Daphnia pulex: one gene and its partner. The protein of the gene in region 2 interacts with the protein of the main gene of each other region in a pairwise test. Links are inferred from orthologs where the notes say so. Each region holds a gene or a part of one and is shown on either strand. Other genes may lie near its edges.

Evidence for each region.
Region 1: the proteins of geranylgeranyl transferase type-1 subunit beta-like (region 2) and protein farnesyltransferase/geranylgeranyltransferase type-1 subunit alpha-like interact in binary tests that used the Homo sapiens proteins (3 or more experiments, as listed by UniProt). The link is inferred for Daphnia pulex from reciprocal best matches to the Homo sapiens genes PGGT1B and FNTA.

Annotation. Positions count from the first base shown.
Region 1 is NC_060020.1:5,696,549-5,706,966, forward strand, and holds protein farnesyltransferase/geranylgeranyltransferase type-1 subunit alpha-like, read right to left. Parts: upstream 5,294-10,418; 5' UTR 5,195-5,293; coding exon 5,029-5,194; intron 4,963-5,028; coding exon 4,839-4,962; intron 4,777-4,838; coding exon 4,681-4,776; intron 4,612-4,680; coding exon 4,276-4,611; intron 4,218-4,275; coding exon 4,037-4,217; intron 3,961-4,036; coding exon 3,868-3,960; 3' UTR 3,469-3,867; coding exon of another isoform or gene 3,367-3,468; 3' UTR 3,277-3,366; coding exon of another isoform or gene 3,110-3,276; 3' UTR 3,043-3,109; downstream 1-3,042. Other genes in the region: homeobox protein MOX-2-like, read left to right, coding at 2,534-3,041, 3,110-3,276, 3,367-3,468; uncharacterized protein LOC124192714, read left to right, coding at 6,910-7,095, 7,156-7,330, 7,383-7,483. UniProt on the Homo sapiens protein: Essential subunit of both the farnesyltransferase and the geranylgeranyltransferase complex.
Region 2 is NC_060023.1:9,028,230-9,038,324, reverse strand, and holds geranylgeranyl transferase type-1 subunit beta-like, read right to left. Parts: upstream 6,444-10,095; 5' UTR 6,257-6,443; intron 6,183-6,256; 5' UTR 6,151-6,182; coding exon 6,038-6,150; intron 5,975-6,037; coding exon 5,600-5,974; intron 5,537-5,599; coding exon 5,404-5,536; intron 5,331-5,403; coding exon 5,211-5,330; intron 5,140-5,210; coding exon 5,026-5,139; intron 4,959-5,025; coding exon 4,829-4,958; intron 4,759-4,828; coding exon 4,646-4,758; 3' UTR 4,524-4,645; downstream 1-4,523. Other genes in the region: proline-rich protein PRCC-like, read left to right, coding at 3,398-3,670, 3,728-4,168, 4,227-4,523; uncharacterized protein LOC124197980, read left to right, coding at 7,089-7,480, 7,565-7,672, 7,743-7,938; uncharacterized protein LOC124197979, read left to right, coding at 9,313-9,800, 9,877-9,984, 10,065-10,095. UniProt on the Homo sapiens protein: Catalyzes the transfer of a geranyl-geranyl moiety from geranyl-geranyl pyrophosphate to a cysteine at the fourth position from the C-terminus of proteins having the C-terminal sequence Cys-aliphatic-aliphatic-X.

The DNA of each region.
Region 1 (10,418 bases), on a different chromosome or scaffold from region 2:
CAAGTCTCAAACGATAAATTTTTCTATTATTTTTCTTTTAAAGTTACGGCAAAAAGATTTTATTCCACTGTAAATTGAAATTTAAAAAAAGGGGGGCTTTAAAACGTTCATCCGTAATGAATGGCTACCCGAATAAAAAAAAACTGATAACCAACACGAGCGTACTAAGCTTTTCACATTCGGATGTTTTATGCTAACTATGATTCACAGCATCTGAGCTGGAGCGCAGTTTAATGCTTAACGATGTGCGGGCGTTGACCAAATAATCTAATTCTTCGAATGGATATATCTTTATACTCACAAACACAAGATCCAAGAATATTGGGCAGGGCCAGTCGAGTTCTAGATGGGCGAAAAAATTTGTAACAGCTAATCATTCATAATTTCTGGAGAGTAAAAATGACGGCCTCCTAATGGACGGTACACACCTACATTTGAATTCTAAAGAGCTCCAATATTCTGAAAAAAAAAAAAATGTTAAAGAAAATGAAGCATGATTGGGTAACAAAAAATCTGAAAATTTAACGCGGACAAATCTGAAAGGATTAGATTAGATAAAAGAAGTACTTCATATTACTTCTTTCTGTTCGCTACTGACCGACTTACTGAAAGTGCAAGGTATTTAGAATTTCGATCTTAGTCAACGTTACCTCTCTATGAATAATTTTTTACTACTGGAAATTTTCCAATTTGTAAATACTATTGAGAAATTGGAAATTGCAGCTAGTGTGTATCGATCCAAAGACTCTTTACAGACTCGCGTTACTGTGGGAGTAGAAGGGCCTCCTGGAGCGGCGGAAGTAGAAACGGCCCGTCCATCACTTGCGAAAACAGGTTTCCCGAATAAGACCGCTAAAAGAAAAAGAATCACACTTTATCTTATCAATTTTAACCCTCCCTTTCAAATGTACTAGAAACTGATGGCATCTTACTATGAAAAAAAGTGTGTTCACTGTTAACACGATTTTACGTTGAATTTCCATAACTCCAGCATCCAGCGATTTCCTGAGACTTGGAAAAAAAAAGGAATGAACTTCCTGTCGGTTAATGGGGTGCGAAATGTGAAACCTGCCATCTTCACTGCTACTCTCTGTATCGAAAAGGCAAAGCTATTTAGTTACGGCTCAAGTGTGAGCAGGCTTCGCCCATTCATTAGAGCTTCACAACTGGACCATCGGCAAGCCCCAGTAACGTAGTAAAATACACATAAAATAAAGAGAAGGAAATGGGGATTTTTACTGTGAACCTGCCAGACTGCTTGGCGCCGAGGGTGAGACAGAGAGGTCGATGTGTAGAGAGGGGGGTCTTTGGAGGTGGGAAATAGTAAAACAAAAAAAAAAAAGGATGGGGGGCTGTCAACGTAAATTGATACCCGAACCGGAGAAGGCGTTGGACACGATGAAACGACTTTTGCCCTTTTTCTCTTCCCACCTATTGCGATCTGTCCAGTGCAAAAAGTGTATCTACGGTCAAAAGAGAACATTTAATTTAGAATACAAATTTGCGCCGCTTTCAAGTCTTGAATCGATTGCTCAAGAGGCTGATTTGAAAAATAATTATACATAAATAAGCTTACTGCTAAACTGATTACAACTTAACTATTGAAGAACACCATTTTAATGAAGTAGACTATTCCGGTTGTTGTTAGATGGAAAAAGTCACAACTGCAACTCAATAACAAACCATCAGTTATAAACTGAATTCTTCCTGGCGAGTTGTTCTGCTTGGAAAAGAAATTTCACTGTGACGGGAAAACGGATAGCCTAAAAGAAAGGGGGGTAGTAGACCCTAAACTCCGGGGGTCCTTGGTCCTGGCAGACAGCCTGGCGCCTCCATGGAATGTATCCCTGATAACAATATTGGGTGGCGGGGACATTTAGAAAAAGGAGTTTAAAATGGTAAACACTAAAACATACCTCCTTTAATTTTGAAGCTGCACTGTTGTAAAAGTCAAATTGTATACTATTCTATGCAGTAAGCAGAACGCTCCATTTTCCTTTGGGCTTTATGGTCTAGTCTTGCAAGGATCAAATTTTAACTTTATAACTGTTTGGGTTACAAAGTCAATTTTTAGGGTGAACTTTGAATATTGCGGCAATGTGAATTGTACTCGCACAATTTAAATGCAATGGTAAGAGATCAGTGTTGTCAAATCATATGCCAGTGAAATATGGGACTTCAAATTGGATTAAGATTGATGAATTGGACGAAGCGGCGTGGACAGCTGAGCAAATAAAAGAAAGGTGCCGCAACAGGATTTGGGAAGGAAAAACGCCAACTGGAAGGCGAAGGGAGTGAAGCAACACAACCAATCGGCTCGCACCGAAAGAACGCAAGTCTCCGCCTTCAATCTTCTCGCCTTGCCAGAACTGCATCAAGCTAAGATTTAGGCAGTGAAGACGTCGACTTGTCTAGGGAGTTCTTTTAACAGTCGGTATCTGACTGTGGACTGGAATTGTCGTTGCAAGTCGTCCAACTCCTGACGACTACAAAACTCCTTTTGTCAGTACCGAGCTAAAAAGTTCCATTTGAAATGAGTCTTTATTACTCTCCTTCGCAGTCTCGCCAATCTCACAACAGCTACGGTAGCGCCACGGATCCGGGACCAACATTTCGTCTTACCTGCGTCAATGTGAATCACGTTACATACAATTATCTCATGGAGAACGCATCGCCCACTACCGCAGATAGTGCCGGATACAATTACGCAAATGGATGTGGAGGATCCTTACCTTGCTATCAAAGTTTGACGTCTACATTGCAACAGCCTCAGGATGACTCCGGTGGACCAGGAGTTCGACCCTATTCATTGCCGTCGTCTTGTGAATCGCCCATGTCACTTCCAGCATTCTCTCCACCTAATCAGACTTTCCTTGGACATCAAGACCACTACCAACAACAGCCGTTCCCAGGGACACAGGTTTTCCACGACGAAGTGCCCCCAATCACGTCATCTTCCATCTCCTCTGCTATTGATGATTTTAACCTAGATGAAGACTTCTCTCTTGATCTGGCGGGAGCCGGCAGCTCAGAAGATGACGGTAAATTTTAGTGTGAATTTCAAATACAAACAAGCAAGAATAAAAACACAACATAATTATTTTTGCAGAGGAATCTAGCAGTGGGGACACAATCTCAAATAAACCAAGGAAGGAACGAACTGCTTTTACCAAACAGCAGATACGTGAGCTAGAAAACGAATTCGCCCACTCAAATTACTTGACGCGACTACGTCGTTACGAAATTGCGGTTGCTCTTGATCTTACGGAAAGGCAGGCAAGTGAAAATGATAAGCACATTCGATACAGTTTCAATAATAAGAAGAAACATGAATAACTAAACCTTAAATCATTTGATAAAATTTAGGTTAAAGTATGGTTCCAAAATCGGCGGATGAAGTGGAAACGAACAAAAGGTGGCAGTCCTTCGATCAAGCAAAAGAAAGAGTCCATCAAGTCTAAACATTAAAATTAAAGATCAGTGACGGGTTGTCTTACCAAATCATCACAAAATGTGTCGCGTTTCGCCATTTACTGAAAGCCAAATTTGCTCTCACTTAACTTTACATTTTTACAAATTTCAGAGTTCTTCCACAAATATTTCAATGATGAAAAAATCGAAATGATCCTTATTTGGTCACCTATGTCCATAACTGTTTTTCCTTTTTTTTCTCTCTCTCTTGTTTGAAAATGCTCGTTTTATAGTATTACAACATGGCCAAATACACCGGCTAAGTCAATCGGTTCTGAATACTAAAATTCTACAACACATCAATGTGCGAAAATATCCACTTGAATTCTTGTTAGCACATAAACAATCATAACTTACCATTTAAAAAAGGTGTATTTTAATTGACGAGATACGTTATCAAATGGCAAACTGTGAATTGAAATAGCGTGACAGAAAAAGCCAGTATTCACGGCGAATGGGATCCATTTTTGTTGCAAGTAACTGGAGCACCTATGAGAAGAACATATTATTAATAAACTTAGAGTATTTAAAAAAACAAAAAAAACAAAAAAAAACAGGTTCAAACTTCATCTGCTTTGGGTAATAGGACTTCGCGTTTCGAAGGATCAGACTGCATCATTTCTTCCATTCTATCGACCAAAAACGCAAAATAAAATGGCGCTTCACTTTTGTTCTCGTCCAGAAACTGGCAAAGCTCTTCGACTATTGGATGACCATTCAGTCCAGTTGGACAATGCGATAAAATACTGCATAAAAACGTTGTTATTTTTACACGAACTACAAAAACATCCGTGAAAGTTTTACCCGCGTAAGTAGTTCCATGCGCTTTCATTATTGCATACTATCTTTATACTGTTGACAGCAAATGTCAGCTCCCGGTTGATTATATCTTCAGTAAAGCCTGTCGTTTGCTTTACAACAAAATACCGTTGATTCCATGCTGAATTGTTTCGAATATCATCTTCTAATAAGCGCTCTACAAACTCCAATTCATGATCAAAGAGTTTGAATGTATCAAGCACCCATTGTCTGTGTTGCCATGCATGATAATTTTTGGCATCTTGAGCTAGCACTATTTCGGTAAGACGAAGTTCACTAGATGGATCACCTGACCACTCTACCAGTACTCTACGATGATGCCTTTGGAGATAAAAGGTTAGGTTGGTTATTGCAACTTATGTTCAACAAATAAAATGGAAGACATATTACCAAACTTGGTAGTTCTTGGGGTGATCTTCTATAATTGTTCTTACAAATGTTAGTTCTTTTGGAATACTCTTTTCAAGTCCTTTTAATACAGTTCGTCTAAGGTGAAAAATACATGTTAAATGCAATTTCAGCATAATTTGAGAATATTCTAGAATTACCTATATTGCCAAACTGTATAATTAGCAGGATTCAGTTCAAGTGCATCACTTGTCAACTGAAATGCTCTCTCTGAGATCTCATTTTTCAACACAATCGCTCGGAAATAGTTAAATATGTCTTTGACTGGAAAGGAAACAAATATTGAATATATTGAAATAAACAAGAGGCAAAAGAAATATATATAATCACATCGGTCGGAATATGCAATAGCGACGACCGGAAAAGGTCCTTCATGTAACTCGACGGGCACAACATCACTCCATTCTTGTCTATCACGGTAGAATATATATGAAGGTTCTTGATCAGAGCCCTCATCAGAGGAATCTGTCAAAGATTCCTTTGACTTTTCTGCCATTATTTAATCACTAGATTTATAAAGAAATTTGTTGAATAACGAAGACTACTTCGCGCGAATCGCGCCTAGCTAAAAAAAATCATGAATTTGCTTTTGTGTTTCGTCTGCTCAAACATCAACATCATTGTCAATTGTTATGCCTAGACAGACTTTTGAAATTGTTTTATAAATTTTCATGAAAATTGAGAAGAGCTAAGTCATTTAACTCTTAATAAAACTTATAAGTCAAATCAGTGGATCGGTGCTAAATGATTATTTGTTTCGTCATTACATTCTCGATAATGACAACCTCGTATCATATTTTTATGGTTTCATTTTCCCACTCACATGGTGGCTTTTTATTGAAGATCAGATCAGGGAGGAGTATAGAGGAGAAAGCAGTTTGCTATTCCTCTGAGAGGGGAGTCGAACCCATAGAGGTCCGGGGAGTGGAAGCCGCCACCAGTTGGCAGCACAATGAGGTAGAGGGTAAGTTTTCAGCCGTTTCCCCATAAGCTTGCGTGGAACAGCTGACTACCCGCCGATGATTTTGTTAAATAGCAGGGGTTATTTGCAATATTTTTGAAAAACACTTCAAACAAAAAGTAATCAGAAATTTAATTCTGATTTTTGAAGTGTTTTTCAAAAATATTGCTGGTGGCGGCTTCCACTCCCCGGACCTCTATGGGTTACAGCGCGGGATAGGACTGCTTTCTCCTCTATACTCCTCCCTGATCAGATCATAGAAAAGTGATACTATACAATAATACAAACAACCAGTGTCACCAGTCCACCACCAATATTTCAAAATTACAAAATTATCTATTGCTTAATCAAAAAATTTCCTTTCTATTTTGAACCCATTTATTATGAAAAGGTATTATTTTAAAAAATTATAGGAATGGAGTCGACGTTGCGCATACGGTAAGAGGGATGCTGAAACCCATCAATTTCGACGACATCTTGCCGTCTATCGAATCACGACTAAACCGGCTCTTGCATTTGATTTCAATATCTTAGAATTGACCGTCTTCATACTACGATACTAGCCTTAGACTTAGCTTCATAGACTTAACAAGCCTTGAAATCGTAGTAAATTAACTAAATTTTCATGTTATCATTACTATCGTTGCGAAACGGTTTGGTAATGCTGCACCCTGTCCCTCCCGTCTTCCCCCCTCCCCTCTTTCTGGTGGACCGTGGACGAGATGAATCGCCCCCTACTTGAATTTTCAGTGTACGTTTGGCGCTTGAGTACGGGCGAACCCAGCGAATCAAGATAGGCATCTATTGGTGGAAAGAGGAACTACCGACAGGCACCGACAGACTGTCGGTGCAATAGCTGAAATACCATTCTAGCACCGACAGTCTGTCGGTGCAATAGCTGAAATACCATTCGAGCACCGACAGTCTGTCGGTGCAATAGATTTTTCGTTGTCGGAGCGTGTGCTCAATGCAGAACAAGTTAAACGAGTATCTTTTCGCCGTTTATTTCGTCGATCGCAACATATTTCATGTCGAACATTTGTCTTAAGTGATCGTATGATCGTACACTTTGTATTGTCTTTCTGAAAGAACGTTAACGAACGAAAGAAAAGAGTTTTGAAGTGTCGAGTCATGTCAGCGCGTGGGCGCGAGTCGCCATTTTGTTACGTCTTCCCTCCTTTTTCGTCGGACGCGCGTCCCGCCATTTTACTTCGTCACCATTTCTTGTTCTGGAAGCGATCGATCGCAACATGACTGCTGTACCATCTCGTTTTTCAGTTCTTGGAACGGAATCCTCCACCGACGATGAAGAGGAAAGAGCAGCTATTACAGCTTCAAAAGAGAAAAAAGGGGCAGCTGCCCAAAAATTGAAATTGCCAGTGGCTAAGCTATCCAAAAAAAAGGGTCCTAAGGTCAGGGAAGAGCAAGGTCCTAAGGTATTTTTTTTATTTATTTTTTTCGTTGCCAGGTTAAGACATTTTTCTCTTTCATTTTAGGAACTGATTCATGATCCCCAAGCGCAAGAGGGTATTGTTGGAAAAGATGAGACTCAATTGAACGAGAAAAATCTTGAAATAGAAAACCTGAAATTGCAGATTGACAAATTACAGGGAGATTTACGTAATTCAAATGCCGAAGTTTTTTATTATCGTGGAGCCTATATACGCGAACGTAAGATTTTTTTAATTTTTTTCCCCCTAATTAAATCTAGTTTTATATATAGTCAAGGAAAAAGCAAACATGCTTGCAGGTATTGACAAAAAAGCCAAGATTCAAAATAAATTGACTGCTGAAACCGTTAAAAAAAGGCATGATACTGAATAGACCGTGGGCCACGGATCTGGGAAGCTCGTCCTATCAATTTCCTTTCTTGCATTTATCAACTCGTCATTTATTTTGAATAATAATAAATAAAATTCTTTGAAACCATCGACAATAATCAGATTTTTTTCAGCTGAACTGGCAATTTATATGTGTTGTTTATATGTGTTCCTTACTACGGCAAGCGACTCGGTAACCTCTGAGATTCTGGCAGTGCTGGCTAAGCACCAGATTCAGGTGGATCAGCCTATGCCAAAAATTGGCCTCGACGAGCCTGGCAGAGACACCGACACCAACGGCCTCGGTTGAAATAAAAAAGCAGTAATTCACACAATTTATATAGTATCTTAAGGTCGAACAACGCCGTCTGCAAGACGAGTTAAACCAGAAAAATATTGAGATTGAAAGCCTCCAGTCAGAAATTGACAAACTACGAAGAGTGTTATGATTCAAAAACTCAAATCTCTAAATTTCGCGGACTCTATATACGCGAATGTAAAATTTTGTTGGATTTTTTTTTTAATTCCTAATTTAATCGATTTTTTATGAATAGTGACAGAAAAAGCCAAATTTCTTGGCGATATGGGTAAAGCAGACCAAAAAAAGACAAATTGACCGCCAAACTGACTGAGGTAAATATAAAAACTCTTTTTATTACATAACGTTATCTTAACTGTCATTTTTCTTTTTCTCAGACTCACAAGAAGAGGCACGATACCGAATAAGAAAACGACCGTGGGCCACGGATCAAACAAGAATATGCTTGTCATATTACATTTATAAACTCTTTCATATTTTTGATACATATAATTAGCGCTCCCACCCGAATTGCCTTTGATTCGAATCGATTCGAATTGATTCGAATCGATTCAACTTGAATTGCGTTTTTTTGAGATTTTTCGAATATTCAGTTCAACTCGAATTGGAAAAATCAAAATTCATATTCATTTGAATTGTAATATTTTTGGGTAAATATTCATGGAAATTTACCTGAATATTCATTTCCAGATTCATGAATATTCATTGTGAATATTCACGAATATTTGGGTGAATTCGTGTCAAATTTGACAAAATTTTTGCAAAGTTTGGATATTTTTAGTTTCAATTTCGACCGCTAGATGTGCCACCTCTTCGTTTCGATAAACGAAGGGGATGGGTATTGTTTGGGTTCTTTTAAACGAACAAATATTCTATTATAATAATTGAATAATCACTAAATCCAGTCGATTTAAGTGATATTCTACTGCAATTAATTAAACAGTTAAAATTATGGATGTTTTTGTGTAATATTTCTTGCCTAATTTAAAAAAAGAATTTTTAGATTTTTTCGTGATTTCATTCGAATGGATTCGAATTGAGTTTCTGGCAATTTGAATCAATTCATATTCAACTCGAATTGCGTTTTCAAAAAAGCAATTCAGTTCGAATTGTGATTTTGGACGCGAATTGATTCGAGTGGGAGCGCTACATATAATCAATAAAATTCTGTGAAACTATCGACTTGCTCTACAAGACCAAATTATGTGTGTACGATCGTCTGGAAAAGACGTGATGGTGACCTGACATTTACAGCAGCATCTCAGATCTGCCAAAGATCCTGAGCCAGGCAAAGGGATCACACCTTGAACTGAGCCTGTTAACTTGAAAGGCAAATCGAAGGGGCTGTTCGATACGGACAGCGCTGAAGAGGAGCTACTCAAAGAGACACCGATCCCCACTAGGGCCCCGACTCAGGCCACAACTCCAGCGGAGGAGCAAACCGCAGCAGCAACGACCGAGCTGCCCGGCCCGTGGTGGTTGATGAAAATGAAAAAGCCAAACCCAAGAATAAAGAGGTAACGAGAAATAAGGGTGGTCTTAACCCAATCACTGTTAAGAAATTGATTGTGGCAAAGGAAAATGAAGAGGTAAAGACCATTCTGTAAAATAAGTAATAATGTTTAATACTTAAATTTCTTAATTGTTGTATATCATTTTCAGCTGAAATCCTTGGCCTTCGGTGGAGCGAAGCCAAAGAAAGTTGTGCTATCTGAAGGCCCTGGCAATCGTAAAGTAATCAAAGAAACAGATACAGAATTGGTCCAGACTGAGTCGGATAAATTTCCAAGTGATACTGCTAACAATCCATCCAAGCGAGGTCCTCAGGTCGAACTACACCGTCTGCAAGAGAAGATTGAAAGCCTCCAGGTTGAAAACGAAAAGCTGCGACAAGAGTTAGTGTTATCTAAAGCTCAAGTCTTTAAATTTCGCGGACTGTACAAAAGAGAACGTAAAATTTTTTTTGATTTTTTTTCTTACTAATCTAATCGTTTTTCTATGAATAGTGTCAGAGAAGGTAAAGTTTCTTGGAGCCTTGGAGAGAGGATAAAGCAGATAAATTGGCCGCTAAGATTAGTGAAGCAAATATAAAAACTCATTTTATTACATAACATAATCTTAACTGTCATTTTTCTTTTTCTCAGACCCATAAGAAGAAACATTATTCAGAATAAGAAAACGACCGTGGGCCACGGAACAAGAAGACCGAAAATGCTTTGTGTCAACATTTAGAAACTCTTTCATATTTTTTAAACACAACCAATAAAATTCTGTGAAACTATCGACTAAGAACAAATTCTGTGTGTACGATCGTCTGGAAAAGACGAAGTGATGGTGACCTGTTCACAAAGGTTGTTAGTTTGCCTTGCAGGTACAGAAATGGCCGAAGCTTGTTACTTAGCAGCACAGTGTTTGAACCAAAGTAGCCACGCTCACGATACGATTGAACTCCAGAGTCAACTAGCCGCTAAAGCTGCAACATACTGTTCAAGTGAATCTTTGATGGATCCCAGTGAACTTTGCTGCCTGGTCAATTTAAGGAATCTCATTCTGAAGCGTTCCTTGGCAGTTGGCAGTTTGGCACACCACAGCAGCATTTCATCTTTGGGAGTTTATCAAG
Region 2 (10,095 bases):
TAGTACTCCGCTGCCTTCGTGGTGTAGTACTCCGCTGCCTTCGTGGTGTAGTACTCCGCTGCCTTCGTGGTGTAGTACTCCGCTGCCTTCGTGGTGTAGTACTCCGCTGCCTTCGTGGTGTAGTACTCCGCTGCCTTCGTGGTGTAGTACTCCGCTGCCTTCGTGGTGTAGTACTCCGCTGCCTTCGTGGTGTAGTACTCCGCTGCCTTCGTGGTGTAGTACTCCGCTGCCTTCGTGGTGTAGTACTCCGCTGCCTTCGTGGTGTAGTACTCCGCTGCCTTCGTGGTGTAGTACTCCGCTGCCTTCGTGGTGTAGTACTCCGCTGCCTTCGTGGTGTAGTACTCCGCTGCCTTCGTGGTGTAGTACTCCGCTGCCTTCGTGGTGTAGTACTCCGCTGCCTTCGTGGTGTAGTACTCCGCTGCCTTCGTGGTGTAGTACTCCGCTGCCTTCGTGGTGTAGTACTCCGCTGCCTTCGTGGTGTAGTACTCCGCTGCCTTCGTGGTGTAGTACTCCGCTGCCTTCGTGGTGTAGTACTCCGCTGCCTTCGTGGTGTAGTACTCCGCTGCCTTCGTGGTGTAGTACTCCGCTGCCTTCGTGGTGTAGTACTCCGCTGCCTTCGTGGTGTAGTACTCCGCTGCCTTCGTGGTGTAGTACTCCGCTGCCTTCGTGGTGTTGTTGTTGGTACCCACCATACCCTGGAGATATCGGTACACCATGGATGAACCAACAACCATCAACGATTCAACACCCAACAGCAGCACGACGCCATAGTTTACTAGACGATTAATAAATTTTAACATCAATTTTCAACTATGGCACTGGTATAACAACAAATAGAAAAAAAGTAGAGTTGATTCACAACTCTATGGAAATTTTTTTACCTTAATTTAAAACTTGGAATTCGATGAAGAATGAAGTTGTTGACAAATAGTGCACGGCAGTTCCTATTGCCATAACGGAGATGCTCACTAGGCTGCTTAATTTTTTCACCTTTTCTCTCCTTTCATACGAATAGACGATAAAGAATTTTTGTTTTTAGCAGTTGGCATATTAAAACTCCACATAACATAATACTTACCCATGATATGTAGTGGTGTAGTACTCCGATGCCTTGGTGGTGTTGTGTTAGGGAGCCTCGGTGTAATAAGCTGGCGCGGCATTTGTAGTTGTGTAACACTCTGGTTCTTTGGTGGAGTAGTATTTAAGGCATTGGTGTAGCAACTGGTTGTGTTGTATGTTGTGTAGTAAGGCGGCAGTGTAGTGCTTTGGTATCCGCCACACCCAAGAATCATCGGTACACCAGTGGTCGACCCAGCTATCAACGATACAACACCCAACAACAGCACAGTTTACTAGACAATTATTAAATTCAAACATTATTATTCAACAATAACTGGCTAATAGCAAATTGAAATAAAAATAGAATAAAACTTTCCATACAAAAAAACAGAATATTCACCCATGATTGAAACTGGTAGCGCGACGAAGAATGCAGTTGGTGACACATGGTGCACTTTAGCTCTTGTATATCGGAAATATTCACTCGACTGATTTCTTTCGCCTTTTCTTTGCCCTTACATACGACTAGACAATAAATAATTTAAAAATAATATGCAAAAATAACTAGCATATTAACAAAGAGAAAAAATTGAAATTTGATACATAACTCCATGGAACAACAGAAAATTTACTGAAATAATTTACTTTACTGAAAATTAACTGACAATACGACGAAGATTGCAGCTGATAGCAAATAATGCACAGCAGCTCTTACCGTGTCGGAGATACTCGCTCGACTGAGCCCTATCGACTTTTCTCTCGCCTTTTATACGACTTTTTCTCACCCCTCCTATTAAGCCTTGCGGTTATTTTACCTTCTTGATAATGATACAAAACGTCCCGTTCTCACCCAACCTCTACGCCACTGCATGACACGTTTTACTTAATGATCTCCATGACCTTCGATTGAAATGCAAACTGGCCTTTCTTTCTTTAGGTAGACGTTGCTGGGGATGGGTCTACAAAAACCAATATCAAAATGAATACCAAAAAGCTTACCCTTGCGGATATTGTACCTGCTTTGATAATGATGAAACACGTGTCATTCTCACCCAACCTCTACACAACCGCATGCCAGTTTTATGTAATGTTTCTCGTGACCTTCAATCGAGAAGACAAACTGGTCGACCTGTCTACAGGTTGACTTGCATGCAAAAAAACAAAACGAAAACATGCAAAAAATGTAATGAATCTAAAACTCCTCGCTTATGTTGACTGCTAGGTTACGTTACCTGTATGATCGTATAGTAGTATGAGTGAGGATTCCTCAGAGTCCAGAGCTATTATTCCAAACTGATATCGAGACGTCGCATAAGGCCAGTAACGGCAACCAGCGCCAACTCCATTGACCCCAAAACGAAATTCATAACTTTCGTTTATGCACATCTGTAGGAAAGAATAAAATGATTATTGGCTATATGGATTTAAAAAATAAAATTATTTCCTATTAGCTGTTATATATCTGTCCTCATGTACATACATGTTTTCATGTACAGATCTGGTACATGTACATACACAGTGCAGGTTATTCACTTCACACTCTTCATGTCACTGAAACTCTAAGCAGCAATGGGACAAGGAAATTGAAAATTCTCTCTCTATTTCCAAATTTACACAAATTTACCTATAAAAAATAAAACTCTACTAACTCTTAGCTGGGTTGCCTTCTAAACCGAAGTAAAAACAGCCATAACAACAAACATGCTGTTGCAGGGTACGCCACCAAATATGCAAGATTCAGAAAAGATGCTGTGGTTCATGAGCAAGGATACCTATGTTATAAGAAAATCTGAAATGTAATGGTCTTGTAGCAGTAAAGTGCAAATACCTTATCTCGGTACATTAGTATTCCACTATATGTGTGCTTCAAACATGAGTTTTAGGCTTTTGACAGCATGAGGGTCTAATAGATGGAAAGTCAGAAAGTGACTGAGCACTAAGTCAACTTGTTGGTGGCAGTACACAGTACAGTAATACAGTATGCATCTAGAATTTGAAGAAATAAGTTGATACAGTGTAAAAATAAGAAAAATAGGTCAAGATAAACCTACATAAGATACGAAGTTCAATTTGGTATTTGAAATCACAGGAATTAGCAACAATTTGTTTCGCTCATTTCTCATTTCCTCTCATTTCACGGTTCAGGAACAACAAGGGCGATAGTGGCGACATCTACTAATGAGTTTTGAATCTTAAGTTAGATGCACAGTGACAGTTCGTCAGTCGCACGGACAAGACAGAGTTAGTCGGCCTTACAAATTACAGAGAGCAGTCACAATAAGTCAACAAGCAGAACTATTTGTAATTTTGTTTTAAACATTTCTTCATAATCAACACAATGGCGTTAAATTTGGTGGCATATGATGAAAGTGGCAGTGAATCCGATGAAGAAATGGATCAATCGCCTGCAATAGTTTTCTCTAAATACAAAAATGAACATGGGAGCATTCGTGAAGATTTAGATGATATACCAAAACCTTCCGAAAAAGAACTCAAACTAGCAGAGCTTGCTAGTAAAGAAAAAGCAAATTTGAAGAAATCTGAGCTACTATCAATTATAAGCCAAAGAAAGAATGGAAAAATTGTAATTGGCATACCGTCACTAGCTGATGTAAGTTCCATTTATATCTAATTTTGTTTCCATTACACTGATGTTTTTCTCATTTAGCTGGAAGATGATACAGAAACAAAAAAAATTAAGAAAATAGACAAACCACTTGCTGTAGGACAATCCAAACTATTCTCCAAACTACCACCTCCAAAAAATTCACATCATGAGCCTCCTTCAGAAATCGCAAAACCAGTTGCGAAACCCCTGATGAAGAAAAGTACCCCTCTTATTCCTCAGTCTGTTGCTAGACAGCAGTCTTCCAAGAAAGATTCTGATGATGAGGATGTATCTGACAGCTTCTTTACAATGGATGAGCCAGCCTTAAAAGTGCAGGCAGAACCAATGGATGTTGGGCCAGTCTTCCAAACAATCAGTTCAACAGGCCAACAAGCTGAACCAGCTTACCCTAGCATGCCTACCAATCAGCAGTATAACATGGCTGGAATTTCAGACACTTACCAAACAGAATATGCTGGATTGGAACTTGACCATGTTGCAGTATGTACTTGTTCATATAAAAATCTGGTAGAAGATTTAATTGTTTTTTGCCTAATAGTTACAGGCACTTCAGGGTTCCTCTGGAGTCAAACGCAAATTACCAGATGATGCACAAATTATAGATATTCAAGGAGAGCGTTTGACGTATGATCCCAACATGTCATATTTGAAGGCAATTTCTGAAGAAAAGTCTGCTAGTAGAGGTCCAGATATAGCCTACAACAAGCTACAAAAGAAGAAGCATCAAATCACTTACTTGGCTGCCCAAGCAAAAGCTCGTGAGGTTGATCTTAAAAACCAATGGGCTCAAAACAAATCCACGAAACGACAAACACAAGCAAAATATGGGTTTTAAAGTATATGTTTGAGCTCGTTGGGATCGTGAATACATGTTGACAAATAATTGACAATATGAGGTGTGAAATCAGTCAAGAAAAGTTGTGCATAATAGGGTTGCATCGATGAAATTTAGGCTGATTAGTTATCAAAAAGCTTTTGCCAGTGTTCGAAAGCTCTCTTTGTCACGTTCAATGCTGGATGAATCTCCTCGACCAAATCAGTCTCTTCGCAAACACTTAACCCAGCAAGACCTTTAATCAAAATTTATATTTTTTAACCTCATAGATTTATTCATCTTAAAAATGATAGCGTTTAGAATACCTAAATACGAGTGTAGCGGATCACTTGAGTGATCAATCCACTTTGATAATCCTCCAATGATATTGCATTGAGTATCCAAAACAAATTTCCGGTTACTTTTACGGTCGATAAATTGGTGAGCACCAAGGATCTGCAGAGGATTGTTTATGAAGTATTGAATGGATCTAAATTGCATCTGTTTAAGCGTAGGGCCTTACTTTTAGTGTCGCTGGAACCCAGAATGAGTAGCAGGTATCAACTGGTAGTTTGTTCGGCCGACCTTGAAATCCACTTTGTTGACGGGAGACGAGCCAGCGTACTAGTTTTGCTTTCTGAGTTCAGTCAAAGGCAGTTTGGACTTATGAAAATACCGTAACTGCGACTATTTATACAAGGAGTCAACCTGATTTGAACTCAGAGCTGTTTCAAGGGTTCCCATCAAACTAAGGGCTGCTATTCCACAAAATGTCAGGCCAGCATGTCCTTCTTGATTTCGGTCTTGTCCAATAGCTCCATCATAGCTCTGTTGAATGTAAAAGGCATTGATAATTAAACAAAAATTTGCTTCGACAAAAAGTTTTAATTCTGCATCTCACAATTGAATTCACGATGTAGTTAGTGGCGCTTTCAATGTTTATAACTGACCAATCCTGCAATATGTAGCAAATACAGCAAGCGCAGTACACGAAACGAACGTCACTCTCACTACCTTCCAAAGTGGCGGCAAAACTGAAAAAAAGTTCCATGTAATTTAATATTTATACACATTAGTTTTTAAATGATTAATTTTACCTTCCATTTTCCAGCTGAAGAGCTCTAACACCAGCTAAAATTCCTTTTCTTTGTATCCTCCCCAGATCATCACCAAGAATGAGGAGGGTATTGATTGCTGCATATGTCATTGTAATATGTGAAGTATCTAAGGGATGACTTGAAACTGACCCTTTGTTTTCAATACTGGCAACCTGACTACTGTCTTGACTTTCAAGGGCAAATGTGGCAGCAAGTGATCCTCTGAATCCACAGCGTTCTAGACACTCATCACCATATTTTGGTAAAATCTGGAAAAGATATATCCAATTTATGTATTCTTTTCTGTGCTTGTCTAGTAAATCCAATCTCCCCAACACATCAAGACCAGATATAGCAAAGAATGACATTGAAAGTCTAGAGAAAAAATTAAAAATTAATTGATGTCCACATTATTTTTAACATTTGTATCAAGTAAACCTTATGGAATCCAGTGACACCATTGAAGAGGGCAAAGCATTCAAGCATCTTAGAAAATACTTTGCATGCTTTTCTTTCGTGAATTCCTTGCAATCGTCCATAGTTTTTTCCATTGGTTTTATTGAATTTAGTTGAATACTTTATCCTATGAAAAAGAAAATTACAAATTTGAATTAAAACTTGGATAAAATTTCACTGGCACGTCTATAATGTACTTACGACAATCACAGTTTAGATCATTATTTGTTTCAAATTATTAAAAATTTACGCTGTTACGATTGATAAATAACTGGATTAATTTCTCTTTTACAAGTAGATTTGGAATTATTTTATTTTGGCACTCATTAACTGACTGTGAGTGCGAACTGAAAATGTAGTAATGACAGATTGACAGACGATTTTTTCGACGACGATATTTCTAAACAGCATCCATTTCACAATCAATAAAACTGCGCGTTTTTCTATTTCAATATTTTCTGAGTATTACTTTTTTTACGCGAGAAATTGGCTTTTATCAATAAATTTGCTATTATAATTTTTCGTACACGCTCCGGCTTCAAGTACAATCTAAATTTGACTTAAAAAAAAAAAACTGCATGATTCACAAGAAAAAGAGCGCTGGCCTTCACCATTTTTCACTTGAAAACCGGATAAAGAAAATTCGAATGGAAACTGCTATCCTTTGTCACTCACATAATTCTGTGTGAATTCATTTTATTATAATAAAGTTGGACAAGCTTCCGCGTCTTCAATATTCTTTTGTCACATAGCCTACTTACACTTTGCGATACATTTTCCCACAGTCCTCCGGTTCATAAAATGGTGGGATGAGAAAAAAAAATGTCAGAACGGTACGTAACATAGAGTTCAATACATGACTAAACCTTTTAGTAAAGTCACAAAAGAAGTTAAAGAACGCGATTTAGCCAAAACATTTTTGATCCCACGGACTGATCCGAAAGTATTTAAATAACGAAACATTTACAAACATGTCGCAGTAACAATCCACAAGCTAAAGCAGCAGGTAGAGCAATCTCAAACCTATCTCGCAATGAAACTACGCCGTTCTTTCAGATTGTTGCTGTTCGTAGCTGCCATCATACTTGGAGTGGAATCGGCCAAGATCCATAAGAAAGTCCGACGCTCGGCTTTGTCGCTGCCTAGCGGTGGAACGCTATCAGTCACGATGGATTTGATCATTCCCGTCGTTCCACTTCTCAACACCACATTGACTTACCTGTGGTTCGATTTGCCGCTCACATTCGATCTACCCACTGCTAGCGCGCTGAACGAACTCTACTCGAGTTTTGGCATGTCATCCGGAACTTCAAATGACGATGAGTCCCGCATTTCAAATGAACTGAACCACGAGTTTATGGAGGAACAAAGAGCTAATCATGATCGGAGACAAGTTTACAAATATGCCGAAAGTTTCTTTCAAAAGTAAAATATTTGATTTTGATTTGTTTTTTATATTTGCAATCAGGTGAATGGGATTCAAGTTTCAATTTAATTTTTTCTCAACAGTTTTGGATTCAACGGCAATGCTTGCTTAAAGCGGGCCATATGCGAGCTAGCTGAAGCTCCACTAGGCAATCACGGACTTTTCGGGAAAATCTTTGACATCTTATTTTTGTAAAGATAATTTAGAGCGCGAATTTGGTTCCTCCTGCGATAAAACTAACAGCTTTTATTTGCAAACTAGGCCAACTGAATCGGATTTTCCTCAACACGAGCAGAATTTCATCAATTTTACGTCGCTGCCCCCTGAGCTGCATTTCTTGGGGAAAAGGAATAAGGACGAATACAACGACGCCTATTTGAAGGGTAGAGCAGCCAGCGGTTGTCTCACTCATTTCTCCGCATGTCCAATTTCTGTCTTCAAACTTTTGGACTTTTAACTTAAACAAAAAATGTAGAGACTATAACCAGTGATTTGTTCTGAAACCTAAAGTTCCTATTTCGATATATTCGTGTTAGAAAAAAGTGCACTCACATCCTATACAACAACGTTGCATAAATAAAATCTCGTCCAAACTGATACTTGATTCTTAGTCCTTGAATTAGTTGAATACGTATGATATACGCAGTGTACGAAAGTCAATTGTAACTACTCAGCACAATCCAAAGCAGAGGCCATAACAAGACACTATGTGATTTCAACTATATAATTATACAGAATTACATTTAAAAAAACTTATTCGGTGAATAATTCTCAATTTTAAATATATTAACTTGAGATTTTCAGCGATTTGATTGTCATAAAATAATCAATTTTGCTGAGTTCCAAGCTTTCTGCCAGCCTACAGTTCCAAATGTTTATGTGTCGTGTCTTCAAAGCGTCGATATAATATTACGTGTCGTTCAAGTTGAAAATCGTAAGGCCAAGGAGGCCATAAATCTGTTTCTATTTTGTTATCGCAGAAAAGTGTGGGAGTTCAGTATGGGTCGGTATAAAAACTTCAGAAAGAGCAAAGTTCTTACAGGCTTTTTGACGTGGAATAGTAGCCGCAATTCTCGAAATTTGGATCCTAGGTTATCAACACTGGGTCCAGTTTTCTGCTGAGCAAATAAAACAAAAAACTGTTTGTTTCAATATTTGAAAAATCAAAAATGAATGGAACGAGCTCGACCATTTGGCGATGATCATGTTTGTTTGTGCCGTAATACAGCCATGTGTCTCTGTTTTGAAAATGGAGAACCGGTTTACATTTCTGAGTAACGGAAACGAATAACGATCCCTTTGTTTATTCGATCAAGTTCAGCACCCGGCTGATATAGGCTGACATTTTGACTGAAGGGCAGTATAGTGCTGTACCCTCTTTGGGACACCTAGTAATATCTTGTTGCTATGTGAAACAGACACAATATTGCGTATACTCGAGTTCTCGGGTACACAGTTATCTTGACCCATGCACGACTTGTTGATTCCGTGGAAATTCGGCCTATAACTCTTTTGGTCCAAGCGACTATAGAGTTCGACTTGATAGGAGGATCGTGCGATTCCCATCATCGCTTCCCGGCAGACGGGAAACAGGAAACGCTTTTGTTAACATATTCCAACAATAGATGGGAAGAGGCGCATTATCTAAACAAATAAAACTACAACTGAATGAACACGCAAATTTTCTGACATCCAAAGTTTTCCACGTATAGTCAATTTGGAGGGTAACAATAAAAGGTAACAAGATTGTCGAGCCAGTCAACCAGTTCATCTCGAGTTACCGCCACAGTCAAAGGTATACACACACGGGTCCTTGCAAAACATTCGAAAAATGATCCGCATCTGGTTGTTGTTAGCGGTTGGAAGCCTCGCTGCTGTTTCCTACGATGCCGAGCATCAAACAAATCGCGGTGCTGACGACGAATTAGTGCTGTCGGGCACGGGAGACTACAGCAGCCCCATTGCCGACGTGAAATCTGACGAGAAGCTGGAACGAAAGCGCCGGCAGAGTTCCAGCAGTCGGACGGCTTTATCACTGCCAGATAACACGAGCCTCAAAATAGCGTTCGACATGTCTGTGGGCATCAGTCCACTCAACAACACCTTCTCCTCGTTCACCATGAGCTTACCTTTCCGCTTCGTCTTGCCGACATTCACGCAGCTCAACAATCGCTACGGCAGTCTGGATCAACTCGAAAAAGACCTGAGCGATGAAGGGCAAATCGAGAGCAATCTGATCGATTACGACTTTCTCGAAGAACAACGAGCGAACGAACAGAGGCGGACCGTTTACCAACATATTGAGATTCTGTTCAAAAAGTGATGACGACGCTTTAAATTCTTACTAAATTAATAATATTTAATTAAGCAATTTTACAATTGCTAAAATTTTAAGGTTTGGATTCGACGGCGAAGTTTGTATGCAACGGGCCATTTGCGAGCTGGCCGAAGCTCCATTGGCCCACCACGGAATCCTAGGCAAACTGATGCATCTGGTTTTCACGTAAACGCATTATATCTTATTATTCAAATGCCACTGGTTTCATAAATATCTATCATTTCAAACTATACACTTCACGACAGGCCAAGCCTGCTAGAATTTCCCAAAATCATG